3 linked regions of the Canis lupus familiaris genome follow. The protein of the gene in region 3 interacts with the protein of the main gene of each other region in a biochemical or structural test. Links are inferred from orthologs where the notes say so. Each region holds a gene or a part of one and is shown on either strand. Other genes may lie near its edges.

Region 1 (5,226 bases), on a different chromosome or scaffold from region 3:
GGATGTTCCCCAGTATGGACAATTCCAGCACTTGGTTGTTGGCTGTGCCGCCCCCGTGTCCTCCCATCTAGGGCATCCTTTAGTCAGTCACTCCTGTCCCGTCAGCAGCACCCTCTGGTGGTGCTGTCAGCAGTCTGCATCCAGCACCCTTGCTGACTTAATTTTACAGTTCAGCTCTTCATCTTTTCCTTTCCTCTTTAAAAATTGTAGTCATTATGTAATGGCAACCAGATAGTTTCCAGATTTCTCATCCTTGATGTTAATTAAGATCCTGTGTGATGTGGTGTCAACTCATCTTTCTAGCCTTATGCCTTTTCTTGAAACGTGGAACATATGTTTCAGCCAGGCTTGCTTATACTTGAAAGTGGCTTTTGCTTTCTTGTCCTCTCATCTGCTCTCCACCTGAAATGGTGCATCATCCCCATACCCCACTGTGGAATGTTGTCATTCCTGGTCTGTCTTGCCCTCTGCCTTCTGGGATGCTTCCTCTTGATTTTCCTGTCTCCCTGCTGGCAGGTGTTGTAACTGAGTGCCTGGCTTTGCCTCGGTGTGGTAGCTGCCTGCCGTTGCCTGGTCCTCTCCACACATCATGCCTTTGCTGGGGACAAGGGCTTGGTCTCACCTTTGTAGCCTTTGCAGGGTCCAGCCCAACTGAGACTCTTCTTCTTTTTCAAAGATTTATTTATTTGTTTTAGAGACAGTGCTTGCGTGCAGGATGAAGGGGCAGAAGGAGAGGGAGAGAGAATCTGAAGCAGACTTCCACTGAACCTCTTGCGGGGCTTGACTCTGAGCTCATGACCTGAGCTGAAATCAAGAGTTAGATGCTCCACCAGCTGAGCCACCCAGGTACCCTGAGGGGGAGGATTCTTAACAGATGATGTATTTCAAGGTCAGTAGGAACCTTTTGCAGACTTCTGTACAGAGGAAGTACTTGTTTGGAAGGTGAATTTGTGAAGGTTAGATGGTGAAATTGGGAGACGTTCAAAGACTAGAAGAAGTGAAACCCACTATAAGGCTCATCTAGACAGGAATGGTGGCAGTAAATGCAGAGATAAATGGGCAGAAAAAGATTCTCCTTTAAAGGAAGAAGGAGCAAGATTTGGCAAATTAATCTTATGGCAAAGGAGTAGGGTCTCAGAGGGTGATATGGCAAGAAGAAAAGCTTGCAAAGGTGAGATGAGGTTTTCAGCCTGGGAGAAGATGGTGCTGTACCAGAAGTCATGGGGCTCAAGGGAGGAGCAGGAGGCATGAAGAGCAGCACATTTCCATATGTAAAAACTATAGTCATGGGAAGGATTTTTATACCAAAGTAACCAATATGTAATATGCACACAGTGCACATAGCTGCTTATGATGTAGTGGATGAATTTTAAGAGGTTATTTCCATTGAAGAAACATTTAAAAATTTCTCTTTTGCATTTAGCATAGTGCTGAGAATCAACCAGCTGGTGCCCTGAAGGTGGTGGTTTTGTGATGCTGCAGGGTGGGGTACAGTGCAGTGGGGTGGCCAGAGATGAGACGATAGCATGAATGTGCAGAGGAAGAAGGAGAGTGTGGCTCTTTGAAGAGGGTGGTGTGATTTATGAGCTGCTGTTTGATAGTCTCGTGACAAAAGGAAGGAGAGAAGTGAGTCAAGAGAGGGTGAAAAGACTAGATGCATGAGAATCACTGGCCGGTGCTGGTGCAGTCACTGGGACGGGGTGCAAAGGGATCGTGTGGGAAGGTCAGCCAGGGTGTGTTGAACTGACGACTGAGTGGCTTGCGAAAGGTGACAGAGTGAAATACTTAGGTAATTAGAATCTAAGTGTGTTTTGTTTTGTTTTTGTTGTTTTAGTAAAATTGGAGAAAATCTAATACGATTATATTATTTAGAAAGAATTAAAGATACCATTGTGTAGTGGTTTTAAATGCTAAAAATCTATTAGGCATAATGTATATTTACGTTTTACTTTAAAATATGTTCTAACCTTAAACTGTGAAATATTTTAGGGTGCACTAGATCTATCTGATGCACATTCTCCACCAAAGTCACCAGAAGGCAAAACAAGTGCACACAGTGCTCCCAGTAAGGTGAGTTGGCTGCAGGGACACAAGGACATCTACAGGGCTCTGGTTTTCTCTTGCTCTGACTTGTTCCAAGTTTTGTTTTGCAATGCAAGTGCTGTTTAGTTTCTTGAAATTGCTTTTTTCTGCTTGATGAAGTGTATATTGAAAATTATTTCACGCTGTTCATAGTGTTAGGAATTTTGTGTCATAGAAAGGAATGCTCTGTTAAATCACAGGACTCTAGGATATTTGGACTCATTTGATACTTTGAAAATTTTCTTCCTTAGTTGACAAGATTTACTTTTCATTTATGAACTCCTAGCTTGAGGATCCTAGGTTCCAGACTGTTGTTCCAGAATATTGTGTTGAATGTTGTAGATAGGAGACAAGTTTAGGAATGCAAATTACAATGATTTTTTATATTAATGCGCTATTTTGAGGATTTATAAGAAAATATGTGTGCTCTGGTTGGTTGTGTGTGTGTGTGTGTGTGTATGTTGTGTGTGTGGTTTATGGGTTGTTAAAGTTAAGGCCTTCTGATTTCAGGGATTTGGCATACTGGAGAAAAATACTGAGTGGAATGCTGAAATTTCAAGTCCATGATCACAAGAATGGGTAGAACGTGATTGTTAGGGAGCATGTTGTCTCTTGACTGGTTGCAGCAGCCAGTCCCACCTAAGGATGGGTTTGGGTCGGGTTGTGTTGTGACTGTTGCTCTGATTGCCATCTTGCGGGATTAGGGTGAGGCCCCCCTGAGTACGCGGTCAGAGCAACGCTTACCAGTGGTTCCTGGTCCTGTGTTGATTTGGCAGTACAGTTGTGCCTCTTCCATTAGGTGACTCCTAGAGGGCAGGGGTTGTATGCCTAGATGTCTGTCTTGCAGGTGCCTGGGCTTAGATACCAAGTGGTTCCTGTTGTTTTGTCCCTGGGTCTGTGACATTGCATTTGCTTTTTATCTTTTTTATTTCATCTTTTCAAATCATAGGATTTTCTGCTTTATTTCCAGCCCAGGAAAGAGACCATCATGCAGTTTGTACGTGTCCCTCCTCTCTGAGATCTAGTTAGCTTCTCTGTGGGGAAGGTTTTCCCTCCATGCTAATGGGAGGCTGTAACTGTGGTTACAGAGAACAAGGTCGTGAGTAAATTTGAAAAGTCCCTTTTAGTGAATTGTCAGATACAGGAGTCTTTGTGAAAAAGCTGTGCTTTCTGTGAAAATGTCCGGCTGTGAAGGGGCTAAAATTAATGCACATACCAGAACATCAGTACCTATAGCATTGAGCTGTTTGGAAGTTCTCTTTTTAGCAAATTAGTATTTTGTAAAGCAAATTAGCACTATGAACCTTTGACATGTGGTGTGTGTTCAGGATAACATTAAAGTCTTGGACATATTTTCTCTATGCAGATTTTATTTTTAAGATCTAAGAATTATGATGAGAATCTTTTAAGTCAGTTAGGAAATGTGGCCTTAAGTACAGAGAAGTGCTGTTAATTTTAAAAGGTGGATTTGGAGAGTGGCAATCCCCTCCAGGTGTCCCCTTACTTGCTCTCACCACCTTCTGTGGGTTGCCCGTGGGGGCGCTGGAGGCCCGTGGGGGTGGCGGAGGCCGGAGGTGGGGCAGCAGAGGCCCTGTGAGGGCGGCCATGCCCTCAGTGCCATGGAGGACTCATTTCAAGATGAGGCCTTCTGGTGGCAGTTCTGTGTAGTTCTGGGTATGTGGATTTGGGGATTAAGCACTTTCCCCACCTTTTTCTTGCCAGCTGTCTTTTATTTCTCAGTGGTCTTTGAATCATTTTGGGCTCTCAGCATACCTGGTTGGTCTGGGTGCCCATGGAGAGCACTAGGAGCTGTGGGACGTTGTGGCCAAGCCTGGAGCCCAGCCCCATCCACAGGAACCCGCTTTGTGTGCTCCTGAGTGAGGCAAGGCCAGGTGAGGCCAGGGCAGCTCCTGGAGGAGAGTGCTCTGGAGGCCGGGCCTGGCTTGGCCATGGAGCGCAGAGATGCTGTGGGGCAGGGCAAGGTCGCAGCGTGGACGTGGGACCCAGTAGGTGTGAGGTACGGTAGTTACACGGGTGGAACCACTCGAAGAAGAGAATTAAGGAATGAGAAGAAAAAATATGGGTTTCAGAAAGGAGCATATTGATCAGGGCTTCCATTCCTGAGAGCTTTTCTCATAGGAAACTTTATTAGTTTGATGAATTACTTTCTTTGTAAAGATTTCTACTTTGTGGTAAAATGTCATTTTATTCTCATGCTCAGATACCAAGGTATAAAGGACAAGGTAAGAAGAAGACAAGCGGGCAGAAGTCTGGTGCCAAGGTAACATGCATGAGGGCAGAGGGAAAAAGCAGCCTGTGCCACCGCAGACCGCCAACTCTGTGGGCCTCCTAGCGGGCACTGAATCCCTATTGGCCGAGGGTTCAGTGTTCTATGCCAGTGTCACTGTCTTCTGTCTGAAATCAGAATACAACCAAGTCATGGGGTGTAGAACAAAAAGTAATTTGATTTTTTGATTTTTATCCAGGTGAAAATCATACTGTTGGATTTTAAAAATGTGCTGTCAACAGGCTTTACTTGGAGAATTCTTTGTTTTGTTGGCAATAAAAAGGTTGAAAATACATATTTTCATTTTGAATGGATGGTCATGTACATATTCTTAACGTTATGATTTTTATCTGAGGTAAATAGAGCATGAAACTGCTTTTTGGATAAGTCCCAATTGATAAATTGGAGGCTAAACTTAGTTTCTTTCAAGACATTTTTGTGTTCAGCATTCAGCAACTTATCAGACCATTGCACAGTGATTAGCCTTCCCTGAAGCCCTGGCTCATGGTAGGCCCACTGGGACACACAGGGCTGGGCGAGCTGATACTGCAGTGATGGGTGCCATGGCTGCTTTTTTTTCCCTCCCCAAAACATGACAAAAATTGACTAAACCAGTAGATTAGCTGCTTTTAAAATTTAAATATTACAGGTCTTAGAAGCACTACTCATCAGTACACTTCTCACCTTATCTAGAATAAGATACTTAAGATATTTAATATTTAGTTCTGTGAGATTCTTCAGCTCTCGTTGAACCTTAATTTATGTATAGATTATTGAAGACCTTTAAAATTAAAGGGTTTTTAAAATCACATTTGCTATTTTAGCTGTCTTTAGTTCTAGTGGTTTCACTGGTAAAT
Region 2 (6,006 bases), about 19 Mb from region 3:
AGAATTTAAGAAACAACATGAACACAGGGGAAGGGAAAGAAAAATAAAGTAACAGAGAGGGAGGGCAGCTCGGCTGGCTCAGTGGTTTGGCGCCACCCTCAGCCCAGGGTCTGATACTGGAGACCCGAGATCGAGTCCCACGTTGCACTCCCTGCATGGAGCCTGCTTCTCCCTCTGCCTGGGTCTCTGCCTCTTTCTCTTTGTGTGTCTCTCATGAATAAATAAAATCTTAAAAAAAGAGAGAGAGAGAGAGAGAGAGAGAGAGAGAGGAGAGGAGAGAGGAGAGGAGAGGAGGGAGAGAGGGAGAGGAGAGAGGAGAGAGGAGAGGGAGAGAGGGAGAGAGGGAGAGGAGAGGGAGAGAGGGAGAGAGGGAGAGAGGGAGAGAGGGAGAGAGGGAGAGAGGGAGAGAGGGAGAGAGGGAGAGAGGGAGAGAGGGAGAGAGGGAGAGAGGGAGAGAGGGAGAGAGGGAGAGAGAGAGAGAGAGAGAGAGAGAGAGAGAGATCCCTGGGTGGCGCAGCGGTTTAGCGCCTGCCTCTGGCCCAGGGCACGATCCTGGAGACCCGGGATCGAATCCCACATCAGGCTCCCGGTGCATGGAGCCTGCTTCTCCCTCTGCCTGTGTCTCTGCCTCTCTCTCTCTCTCGCTCTGTGTGACTATCATAAATAAATAAAAATTAAAAAAAAATTTTTTTTAAATAAATAAATAAAAATAAAATAAAATAAAATAAAAAAGAGAGAGGAAAGCAAACCATAAGAGACTCTTAACTATAGAGAATAAACCAAGGGTTACTGGAGGAGATAAGATGGCTAACGGGCATTACGAGGGCACTTGTTGAGATGAGCCCTGGGTGTTATACGTAACTGATGAATCACTAAATTTTACTCCTGAAACTAGTACTATGCTAAATGTTAATGAACTTGAATTTAAAAGAAAAAAAAAAGACGAGTAATAAAATAAATCACCTAACTTTAGACTACCTGGTGGTAGAGGGAGTTGCCCCACGTCCATCGTCAAGCAAATTAGAAAACCACTGCCTAAAAAAAGAAAAGAAAACCACTGCCTTACGTCAAGCTTTCACGCAGTGCAATGGCTTATTTGTTCCTATTTAAGTGCAAATAATCCCAGGCTTTTAGCTGGACACTTTTTTAAAAACAGGAAGTTATTATAAAGCAAAACGCACGTATCTTCGGAGTTCATTCCATCAATTTTGACAACGGTGATGTTTGAGCTTAACATTTCACCTTCTCAGGAAAACGGCCTCCTGGACGTACTTAAATAGAACTCCTAGCTAAGTATTCCATACAAAAAAATTGCACTTAAGTTTACAGTTGCATGAAATTTCTACAAAGTGAACACACCTGTAACCAACATCCAAATCAAGAAACAGGACTTTATCTGAACCTCAAAGCCTCCTGATGGCGGTCATTGTCCTCCCCATCCAAGGGAAGACCAGCCTGATTTTAAACACCCTAATGACTTTTGCTGGCCTTAGCCTTCGTTTAAATAAAACCAAACGACAGGAGCGCTTCTGGCTCCTTCCCCTAAGGTCACGTCCGAGTCGCAAGCTTACTAAGCAGCCCTGGTGGGTCCACTTCCCTGGCGCACTCCAGTCCTCCACCGCGCAGTGGTCAGCCCGCACCCTTCAGGCAGCTTTCACCCTCCTCACCTCGCTGACTCTAGTCGCTACCTTGGGCCATATGTACAGCGGGGTGAGGGCGGACTGGTTTTCCAGAGGTCACTAGGTGTTCACAATCGTGTTGCCGACGTTTTGCGGCGGCCAAAGGCTAGAATTATCTGAAAAAGAGGATGATGATGTAATCCCAGGAAAACTCAGCCTACGTTTTCTCTGGTTAACAGGCTCAGTTAAATCCAATTCAAGCCTGAGTCACAGAATGTTCGCTGAAGGGGACGAAGGTACCAGAGCAGCAACCCAGTCAACGGGGAAAGGCGGCGCCCCACTGCGGCCGGGCACCGCGAGAGCCGGGGTCAGCCGCCGCAACCCCAGGCGGCTCCACTGGGCCCTGTCACGTGGCCAGCGCAACCCCCACCCCTTCCCGTGGCGCTCCGTGATGACGCAAACATATCGTAGACGCTAAACCGTGGTGACCTCTCGAGGGCGTCGGACCCCACGGAACACCGAACTGTTCCCTTCAGGACACTAACTGTCAGTCTTTTCCGTTTTAACATAAAAAGGCTGCCTCTTCTCCCCCCTGGGGTCCGTTTCTCGCAAACGCTCATAAACTAGCTTTAGACAAGATGGCAGCCCTCCAGGGGACGAAACCAGCCGACTCTAACCAACTTCCGGTTTGGACCCCAAAAACCAGTACGTTATTTCCGGGGTTGGGTTAAGGCGCGTCATGACAGCGGTTCTGAGCTGCGACTGCGCAGCGGGGACACGCGAGGTCAAAGTAGAACACGTACAGTTTCCCGGGCGGGGAGGAAGAGGCGTTACTGTTCTCGAGCTGCTGGTTTGCTCGCGAGAGTTGAGCGTTGCTAGGAGGCTCGGCGGGAGGGGCGGGGCCAGGGTCGGCGGGGCGGGGCTGGGCGGGGCTAGGCGAGGCGGGCGGCGCGCGCGCGGAGTGAGGGGTTGGGGGGGGTGCGCCGGCGACGGACTCGCGAAGGTTCCAGAGGCGCCGCGTGCGGGAGGCGGGCCGGGTCTCGCGCCGGGTCGGGTGTGCGCGCAGGCTTGGGGCGCTGCGAGCCGTGCGGGTGGGGCCTGCGTCCGGGCGAGTGCGTTCCGTGCGGTGTTTCCTGTTCCCTCCCCTGCGCGGCTGCAGCTCGGGCCTTGCCTGATCAGCCCGACCATGGCTTCAGCTTTGGAAGAGGTAAGGGTCTGGCTTCATCTTCCTCACGCGGCCGTGCGGGGCTTCGAGCGCCGGCGCTCGCGCCCGTCCCCCGCCCCGCGTACCTAGCGGAGGAGCCGGCGGCCGCCTCCCTGGCTCCTTCCTGCGTCGTCGGCTCCCCGACCTCTGCCTCGGCCGACCCGCCGCCCACCTGCAGCGGCCCCTGCCGGCTTCCGGCCTCCGGCCTCCGCTGAAGTGGTGCCCCCGGGGAGCGGGGCGGGCTGGTCACCTTCACGTTCCCCTCAGGCCCCGCCGCTCCCGCCGGCCGAGCCCGAGGACGCGAGGCTGCTTTACGTAAACGCTGGCGGCAGAAACCGAGGTGCACTCCGCCGGGTGAGGCTGCCGGCGCTCGGCTTCCAGTCGCGTTTTCTCAGCGCGCTTTAGTGGCTGTGTGCCTCGGGGCGAGTTGTGCGCTTCTCGGCCCCACAGCAGTGTCCATTTCCGAGTTAGAAAGGCCAGGCACTACTATTAAATGTTGAAAACCCTGCCTGGCAAACTGTAGCGTGCTATGTGGGCTTTAAAACTAAGTAAATTGGACGGTTAAGTGTTACTAGCGGTGGGAAATAGCCATTTTCTCTTGTAAGCTCTGTGAAGTCTGAACAGGAACGGTTTAACTTTTTTTTGAAGACTTAGTTCGCGCACTTTCAAAATGGGAATAAACCGTACTTGCATTGCCCTTTTCCTGGCCCAAGGTGGTTCTCCATACATGATACTGCTGAGTGTTAACTAGATTTGTTCTCTGGAAATCTTTCCCTCAATATGAACAAGTTTGAGAAATCTCATACCTGACTTGGAAGTCCTTAGAATCTGCTGTAGATGAAGAAAATGCGTGTGTGCGTGGGTACGTATTATACTGGATCCCTTGCCCCGGGTCTATGTTCTGTCACAGATAGGCCTTGGCTGCCCGAGTGCCCTGGGGAAACCACCTCTGCAGTGGCTTTACGGGCACACTTTATGGATAGCTCCGTATTAGCCCTCTTCAAAATCAGGGATTTTTCCTCAGTTGAGGTAGTTAAAAATACACTCAGGTTTCTGGGGTTGTTTTTGTTTGATATAAAATTCACTGTTCAATCATTTTAAAGTGTGTTGTCCATTGCTGTTTAGTACATTCAGTGTTGCACAGCTGTCACTTCTTTATAATTCCACAACATTCACGTCATCACCAAGAGAAACCTATTAAGCGTATTAGGCCATCCCTTACGATTGTCCCTCCACAACCACTAATTGCTTTGTCTCTGTGGATTTGCCTATTGTGGACATTTCATATAAATGGAATCTTACGGTATGTGGCCTTTTGCTTTTTGGCTTTTTTCACTTAACATAATCTCTAGCTCCTCCGTGGTGTGGCGGGTTTTCCTTTTTTATGGCTGAATAATATTCCATTATATGGATATGCCACATTTTGTTTCTTCTTTATCGGTTGATGGACATTTGGATGATTTTTGGCCATTGTGAACTGTGCTGCTGTGAATATTGTGTACAGCTTTTTATGTGGACGTGTTTCCAATTCTGTGAGGTGTGTATCTAAGAGTGGAATTGCAGGAGCTCGTGAATTCTTTTTTTCAAAGTGGCTGTACCACATTACCACAAACTGTATGAAGGCATCAGTTTCCACCTACCCTTGTAAGACTTGTTATGGGGGGGGGGGGGGATTTTTGTTGATATTGGCCACCCTGGGGGTGGGAAGTGGCATCCTATTGTGATTTTGATGCACATTTCCTAAATGATTAAAGATGTTGAGCATCTTTTTTCATGTGCTTGATGTGATGGCTGTATTCAAACTCCTTTGCTTATTTTGAGACCCTTTGGTTTTAATGCTTCTTGTTGAAGAAATCGGAAATAGATAAGATAAAGCTTGAATATGTTTATGGGTGGCGGTAAAAGGAATGTGTGATTTTGCATAAGGAACACGAATGCTGAGGTAAATTAGATGAGAAACTGCTGTATCTATGTCATAAGTATGTGTGCAGAAAAAGTACCAAAGGGATCAATGTTACTGGTTTCAGGTCTGCAAATAACAGAACTGAGGAATTAAAAATAGGCCTGTTGGAAAGTCGCCTCAGAATTAGAGTGGCTCCCTTTTTTTTATAGTATGTGAGTCAAAACTGGCTGTAAAGAGGGCCTGAGAATCCCTAATTCTCAGAGTTAAGTCTGCTAGAAAAAAGGGTATCTATCCAGTCAAAAAAATAAAACATCTTGTTTAGACTTGATATATTTTCTATTTTGTTGTTGTTATTACCTGAATCCTTACTTGGGAACAAATACACTGATTTTACATTTCAAAATTTTTATCATATTGGTGTTAGAATCCATGTGAATTTTTTAGATCACCATAATGAAATATTGCTTCGAACAAAAGCATCTTGGATCTGTGCTTAAAAAGATGAAATTGCAGTATTGTCTTAGTAATATGAGTTTTTGGGGGGAGGCGAGTAGATAAATAAGGACAGGAGAACTGCCACAGTTGGACTTTTTATTTACCATCCTAGTAGTTAACGGTAAGTGAAGTGAGAGCATCAGAGTTAAATGAGATGATAAAAGACTAAGGGGTAGAAAGCATTTGTTTTTCTCTTCATTTTGTAAGACTTAGAAAACAAAGACTTTAAAACTCTACTTGGACATTATACTGAGTTATCAAGCATTTAAAGTTTTTGTTTTGTTTTGTTTTGTTTTTTTAATTCATTAGAGGCAGAGACACAGGCAGAGGGAGAAGCAGGCTCCATGCAAGGAGCCCGACGCCGGACTCGATCCTGGGACTCCAGGATCACGCCCTGGGCCGAAGGCAGGCACTAAACTGCTGAGCCACCCAGGGATCCCTGCATTTAAAGACTTTTATATTGCATTTTTAAAATATGATTTCAGGCTAAAGTGTACAAGGTCAGATTGCTATTAAGCCAGAATGTAGTTATTTTAAGAAAAATGAAATCCTTGTTTGCAAGGATCTTTTGCATTTGTAGTATATCAGAGGATAATTGGGGAAAAGGTTTTAAGCTGATTAATTATCAAAGAGTGTCTTCAACTATAGAACTTCATAAAATATTGGCCCTCTCTCTAGAAAGTAGAAATAAACACTGGTAGGCGATGTATTGGCACGCAGAGAAAAGAACAGGTGGTTTTTCAGTGATCCAGGAGTGTGTCGCAGTTTGGATATTTTGCCTAGGT
Region 3 (4,517 bases):
CAACAATTCCACCAAGTTGGGCCCCCAGGAAGTGGGGGAGGAAGAGGGGAAGGAGGATGTGGTCTCCCTCCGAGGTGCCCAGAACTTACAGAGGAACTTGTCTGGCTCCGACTAGGCCTGGAGGGCAGAGAACAGTGACAAATGCCCCATTGCCCTGAGATACAGTTTACCCCCACACCCCATGCCCTGAAACCACAAATGCAAACAATGGATTCACACAATAATTCAATTAGTCATCCTCCCTGATAGGGGCTGAGAGCCAGGCTTGGTTCCCATGAAATGACTGGGGTGATTCATTCTGAGGCTACAGGGATGGGCTCACTGAATACTGATCCAGAGGCCAGAAGCCGTGGCTAGCCTGCCCCCCCCATCCCAAGCACCCCCTGCAGCTGCCAGCTAGTCAGACCTCCACCCCCAATGCAAAGAACACTTACACACTGAATACGGAGACAGTAGGCCCCCCCTTCAACTGGGTGGTGGGCAGCTGCCATGGACGCAGCCATCCAGTGTCCCGGGTGGCCTCTCCAGCCAGGCTCTGGGCCTGCCAGATGCGGCCTCTCTGCCTGCGCTTCACTGCGGCACAGCCAGGGCCAAACAGGCAACTCGATCGTCTTCAGGGGTTCAGGGCCCCGGCTAGCCACGCAGGGGAACAGGCAGAAGGAAATGTAAAAAACCCTTGTTATCTGCAGTGCCTTGAGGCCAGCAGAGCAGAACCTTCCTCTAGGAAGCTCCCGGCTGTCTCAATGCCCTGCTAGAGGGAAAAACAGCCTTAGCTGGACAAAAACAATGCCCCCAGGATCCTGTGAATCTACTTTAGCTGATAAAGATCCTTCTGGAACTTCTCTTTACTTCCCCCAACCTCAATAATCAATTGCACTGTCCCGTCACTGTGCATTAACAAAACCACCTTTTTGCACCAAAGAAATCTCAAGAATTCTTTCTTGGCTCCAGACCTCGCCAACCTCACCAACATCCCAAAAGTACAGCACCCGGACTTTCTCTGCCCCAATCTAGACCCATCAGAGCCAGGTTCAGGCACCATTTCCTTCTCCACTCCCATCCCAGAAACCTCTTTCCTGGGAACCACGTGAGCCTTCGCCCAGAGTGGGACTCTTTTCGAATCCATGTAAAGGCATCTTATGACCTAGCAGTGGCCTCATCAGGGTGGCCCCAAGTGTGGGGCCTTGCAAGTCACCCCCAGAGGTGACTGTGAGCAAACTCTGATGGCTGGTGCAGCAACCAAGCAGAGCAGGACATAAATCACTAGGCTACCAGGACACAGAGGAAGACTTGACCAAAGAAAGGTATTTATTGAACAGTTACCCAGCACTGGATCTGAATTAGGCAGGCCCGATGGAGGGTGGTGTCTCCACCTTCCTGCTGTATGCTCAGCCCTTGAGGGCATCATTATAGATCAGAGCCAAGGCCCCCAGGAAGGTGACGTACTCCTGGAAGTTCACCACCTGGTCCTTGTTTCGGTCCAGGTCGTCCATCAGCTTTGCAATGTCAGCATCCTGCAGCTTCTAACGGGACAGAATGGGAAATCCAGACTCAATGTGAGGAGAGCCTGAGGTTCTCTTCCTCTCCTCCTCCAGGCAGCCCTCACTCATGCAAGTAGCTCTGCACTCTCCCTGTCACCAAAGATGCGAGTCCACCTTGGGCTGGTTCTCCACACCTGCTCCTCACTGGGGGCAGGTACCAGGCTGAGAGTATCGAGTATCGGGAAGTGACCAACGGTCTCAGTAAACGATGTGGGCTGGGTCCCCAGAACGTAGTAACTGTGAGTCAGATGCACCTGGCACCTCTCCCTCTCCTCACCCTGCTTCTAGGGCCTAGGGGAGACTTAACTCACCGGGCCAATGGTCAGCTCCTTCTGGATCAGCTCCTTCAGCTCCTTCTTGCTCAGAGTGTTCTTGTCGCCTTCCTTGCCCGAGTACTTATGGAAGATGGCCACGAGGAGGCCAATGGCCTGATCCAGGGGGCACGCCATGGCTGAGCACTGGGCTGGGAGCTGGGGGTGCAGAGGCTGCTCAGTGCCAGAGCCCCCCCCCCCCCCCCCCGCCCACCCACATTCCCCAACAGCTGTGTCGCCGGGGTCCCCATCAGGAGTCAGCCCAGGGCTTGAGGGGAGGGAGAGGCGCTCCTGGAGGCCCGCAGGAGGGAGGTGGCCAAGGAACCAACCGGACGGCAGCGAGAGCGGCCCGGGAGAAGCTGGGGAGCCTGAGGGGAGCCGCACACGCCCCGGCAGCCCGGGGCCCCTGGGGCCGGGGTGGGCGCCTGCTGGGCGCGCAGGGACTCACCGCTCGGCCGGGAGAGCGTCCAGGGACCGACGGGCGGTGGCCTGCGCGCCTTTTAGCGGCCGGGAGCGAGGGCAGGCGGCCGGAGCCCACTCCTCCCGCCCCCAGGCCCCCAACCCCGCCCTGCCCCCCCTCGCCGATGTCCCCCCCAGCCCCGCCCCCGGCCCCTCCCGCGCCCCCACCCAAGCCCGCAGGGCGCCCGCGTCTACAGGACACACCCCGGGGCGGGCCGGGGCGGGGGGGGGGGGGGTGGAGGGGGGTCAGCCCTCCCCGCCTCCCGCTCGGGGCTGTTCCGGGTTCCGCGTTCCCAGGGTGGAGCGGGGATCGCAGGCGAGACCGCTGCAGGTCCGTGACACCGAGGTCCCGGCCAACACCACAGCCCACGGGGGGGGGAGGGGGGCGGGGGTCCCCAGAGGGTGTCGGGGTCAACCCTAGCTGAAGGAGAGGGAGCAGCCAGGTCTATAGGATATGATTCAAAGGGCATCTACAGCACCCACCCCTCAACAGAAGCAAGTTCCTGCCCACACCCCACAGCCCTCCGTCCCCGCCTGCACCCCCACCCTCACCCCCATAGCCCTTCCTCCGCGCCGCCCGCACCCCCACAGCCCAGCCTGGAATCCCACCTGCAAGCCTCTTGCGGGGCAGCACTTGCTGACCAGCCCTGGCCTTACTTAGCTGCTCTCCAGTGAAAGGATTTTCACAGCGGGGAGTGGAGACAACAGAAAGCACAGATGATGGGGTGGGGTGGGGTGGGGTGGGGTGGGCTTGCTGGGGGAAGCTGGCATGGGGTAGCCTCAGGCTGGCTTGTCCACCACTACCCTCAGGACCCTCCCCAGTACCTGTACTCCTCAAAGCACTTCCTCTTAGCTTTCTCTGAAAGGCAAGTGAAAGCCTGCCCCAAACTTCCCCATCTCCCTGAAGGGCAGAACTAAGCCCAGGAAGCCGGCTGGCATCCACACTGGGAAGGGCAGGAGGTAGGTGACCCTAATGCCCGGAGACTCAGCTCAGGGAGAAGTCCTGCCTCGCCCGACCCACCCCCAGCCAAGGTGTCCAAGACATCTGCAAAACCAGCCAGGAATGGAAAAATCTTTATTTCTTCTGCTGGAAGGGAAGGCAGAAGCAGGGTCCGTCCAGAAGGGAGAGCAGGGCCAGGGGCCAGGGAGTGTCTGGGAGACAGCTGAAGAGGCCAGGGGCAAGGGGCTGAACCCTGGTCATTTATCTTCCTCCAGGAAGAAGTCGTTGTAGGCCATGCACAGTGTGGTCAGGAACACCGTGTACTCCTTGAAGTCGATCTCCTGGTCACTGTTCTTGTCCAAGGTCCTCATCAGATCATCGATGCCGCTCTCTTTCATCTTCTTCAAGAGCACAGGGAGAGGGACAGGTCAGCCACCCCATTCAGCCCTGCCCCCCAGTGCACGGTGCCACCCACCCCTGGGAGGATAGCCTCAGGGTGACCCTCGGCTAGGTCAGCAACACTGAACGTCTCAACCCCCACAGTGTCCCCAGCCCACACCCAGCACAAGGCCTGGCACCATGTGGTGACCTGACTCTTAGTCTGAGCAAATATCCAGAGGAAAGCTGGTCCACCCTCCCCTTTCCTCAGCACTTCCCATCATCCAAAGAAAGAATCATCTGGATTTTATACAATGTCTAACAGAAATGCTTTGGTGACTATGTGGCACTGAGCATGATCCAGACTTCTGTCCCCACAGTGGGTAGCTGAGAACTGACCCCGACAACACTCCAGGAGAGCAATGTTGGGGCCTAGCAGCGACTGCCACCTCCCTTTCTGGGGGGCACAGCCATATGGAGATGAATCCCTGGCTCAGCCACACTCCGTCTGTCCCCTGCTCTCCCAGTCCTGCTCCACTAGGAGGATGGAGACAGGGCCCTTGGGTGGGACAGGAAGACAGACAGACACGTTCTGCCCTCCTCTCTTTACTGCCCTCAGCTCCCACTTTTCCACAGGAGACGGGCGTCAGGACAGATGGAGATGGAAACAACATCTCTGTGCCGTGGTCCTTGCCCCCAGACTGGGCTCCTGTTAAACTCAGGCCTACCCCAGGGCCTCTGTCCCCCGTAATTAACCCCTAGGGGACCCGCGGCCCCTCCCCTCGCCCTCATTAACTCCAGAATGCAGGGAGCCTGGCAGGCAAGCCAGAGGGCAGGCCTGGTGAGACCCACACCTGCTCCAGTCCCCAAAGGAAGGCTCTCTCTCTG

Evidence for each region.
Region 1: the proteins of S100A6 (region 3) and CEP43 form a complex in vitro, tested with the Homo sapiens proteins (2 studies listed by BioGRID and IntAct, with this or other methods). The link is inferred for Canis lupus familiaris from reciprocal best matches to the Homo sapiens genes S100A6 and CEP43.
Region 2: the proteins of S100A6 (region 3) and CACYBP are reported together in a solved structure, tested with the Homo sapiens proteins (2 studies listed by BioGRID and IntAct, with this or other methods). The link is inferred for Canis lupus familiaris from reciprocal best matches to the Homo sapiens genes S100A6 and CACYBP.

Annotation. Positions count from the first base shown.
Region 1 is NC_049222.1:55,409,598-55,414,823, forward strand, and holds part of CEP43 (centrosomal protein 43), read left to right. Parts: intron 1-1,989; coding exon 1,990-2,070; intron 2,071-4,303; coding exon 4,304-4,363; intron 4,364-5,226. UniProt on the Homo sapiens protein: Required for anchoring microtubules to the centrosomes. Required for ciliation.
Region 2 is NC_049228.1:24,276,832-24,282,837, reverse strand, and holds the start of CACYBP (calcyclin-binding protein), read left to right. Parts: upstream 1-2,629; 5' UTR 2,630-2,805; coding exon 2,806-2,826; intron 2,827-2,909; exon of another isoform or gene 2,910-2,928; intron 2,929-3,028; exon of another isoform or gene 3,029-3,177; intron 3,178-3,596; exon of another isoform or gene 3,597-3,685; intron 3,686-6,006. UniProt on the Homo sapiens protein: May be involved in calcium-dependent ubiquitination and subsequent proteasomal degradation of target proteins. Probably serves as a molecular bridge in ubiquitin E3 complexes. Participates in the ubiquitin-mediated degradation of beta-catenin (CTNNB1).
Region 3 is NC_049228.1:43,489,307-43,493,823, reverse strand, and holds S100A6 (protein S100-A6), read right to left. Parts: upstream 2,438-4,517; 5' UTR 2,301-2,437; exon of another isoform or gene 2,182-2,300; intron 2,012-2,181; 5' UTR 1,991-2,011; coding exon 1,853-1,990; intron 1,524-1,852; coding exon 1,389-1,523; 3' UTR 1,286-1,388; downstream 1-1,285. Other genes in the region: S100A5 (protein S100-A5), read right to left, coding at 3,509-3,652. UniProt on the Homo sapiens protein: May function as calcium sensor and modulator, contributing to cellular calcium signaling.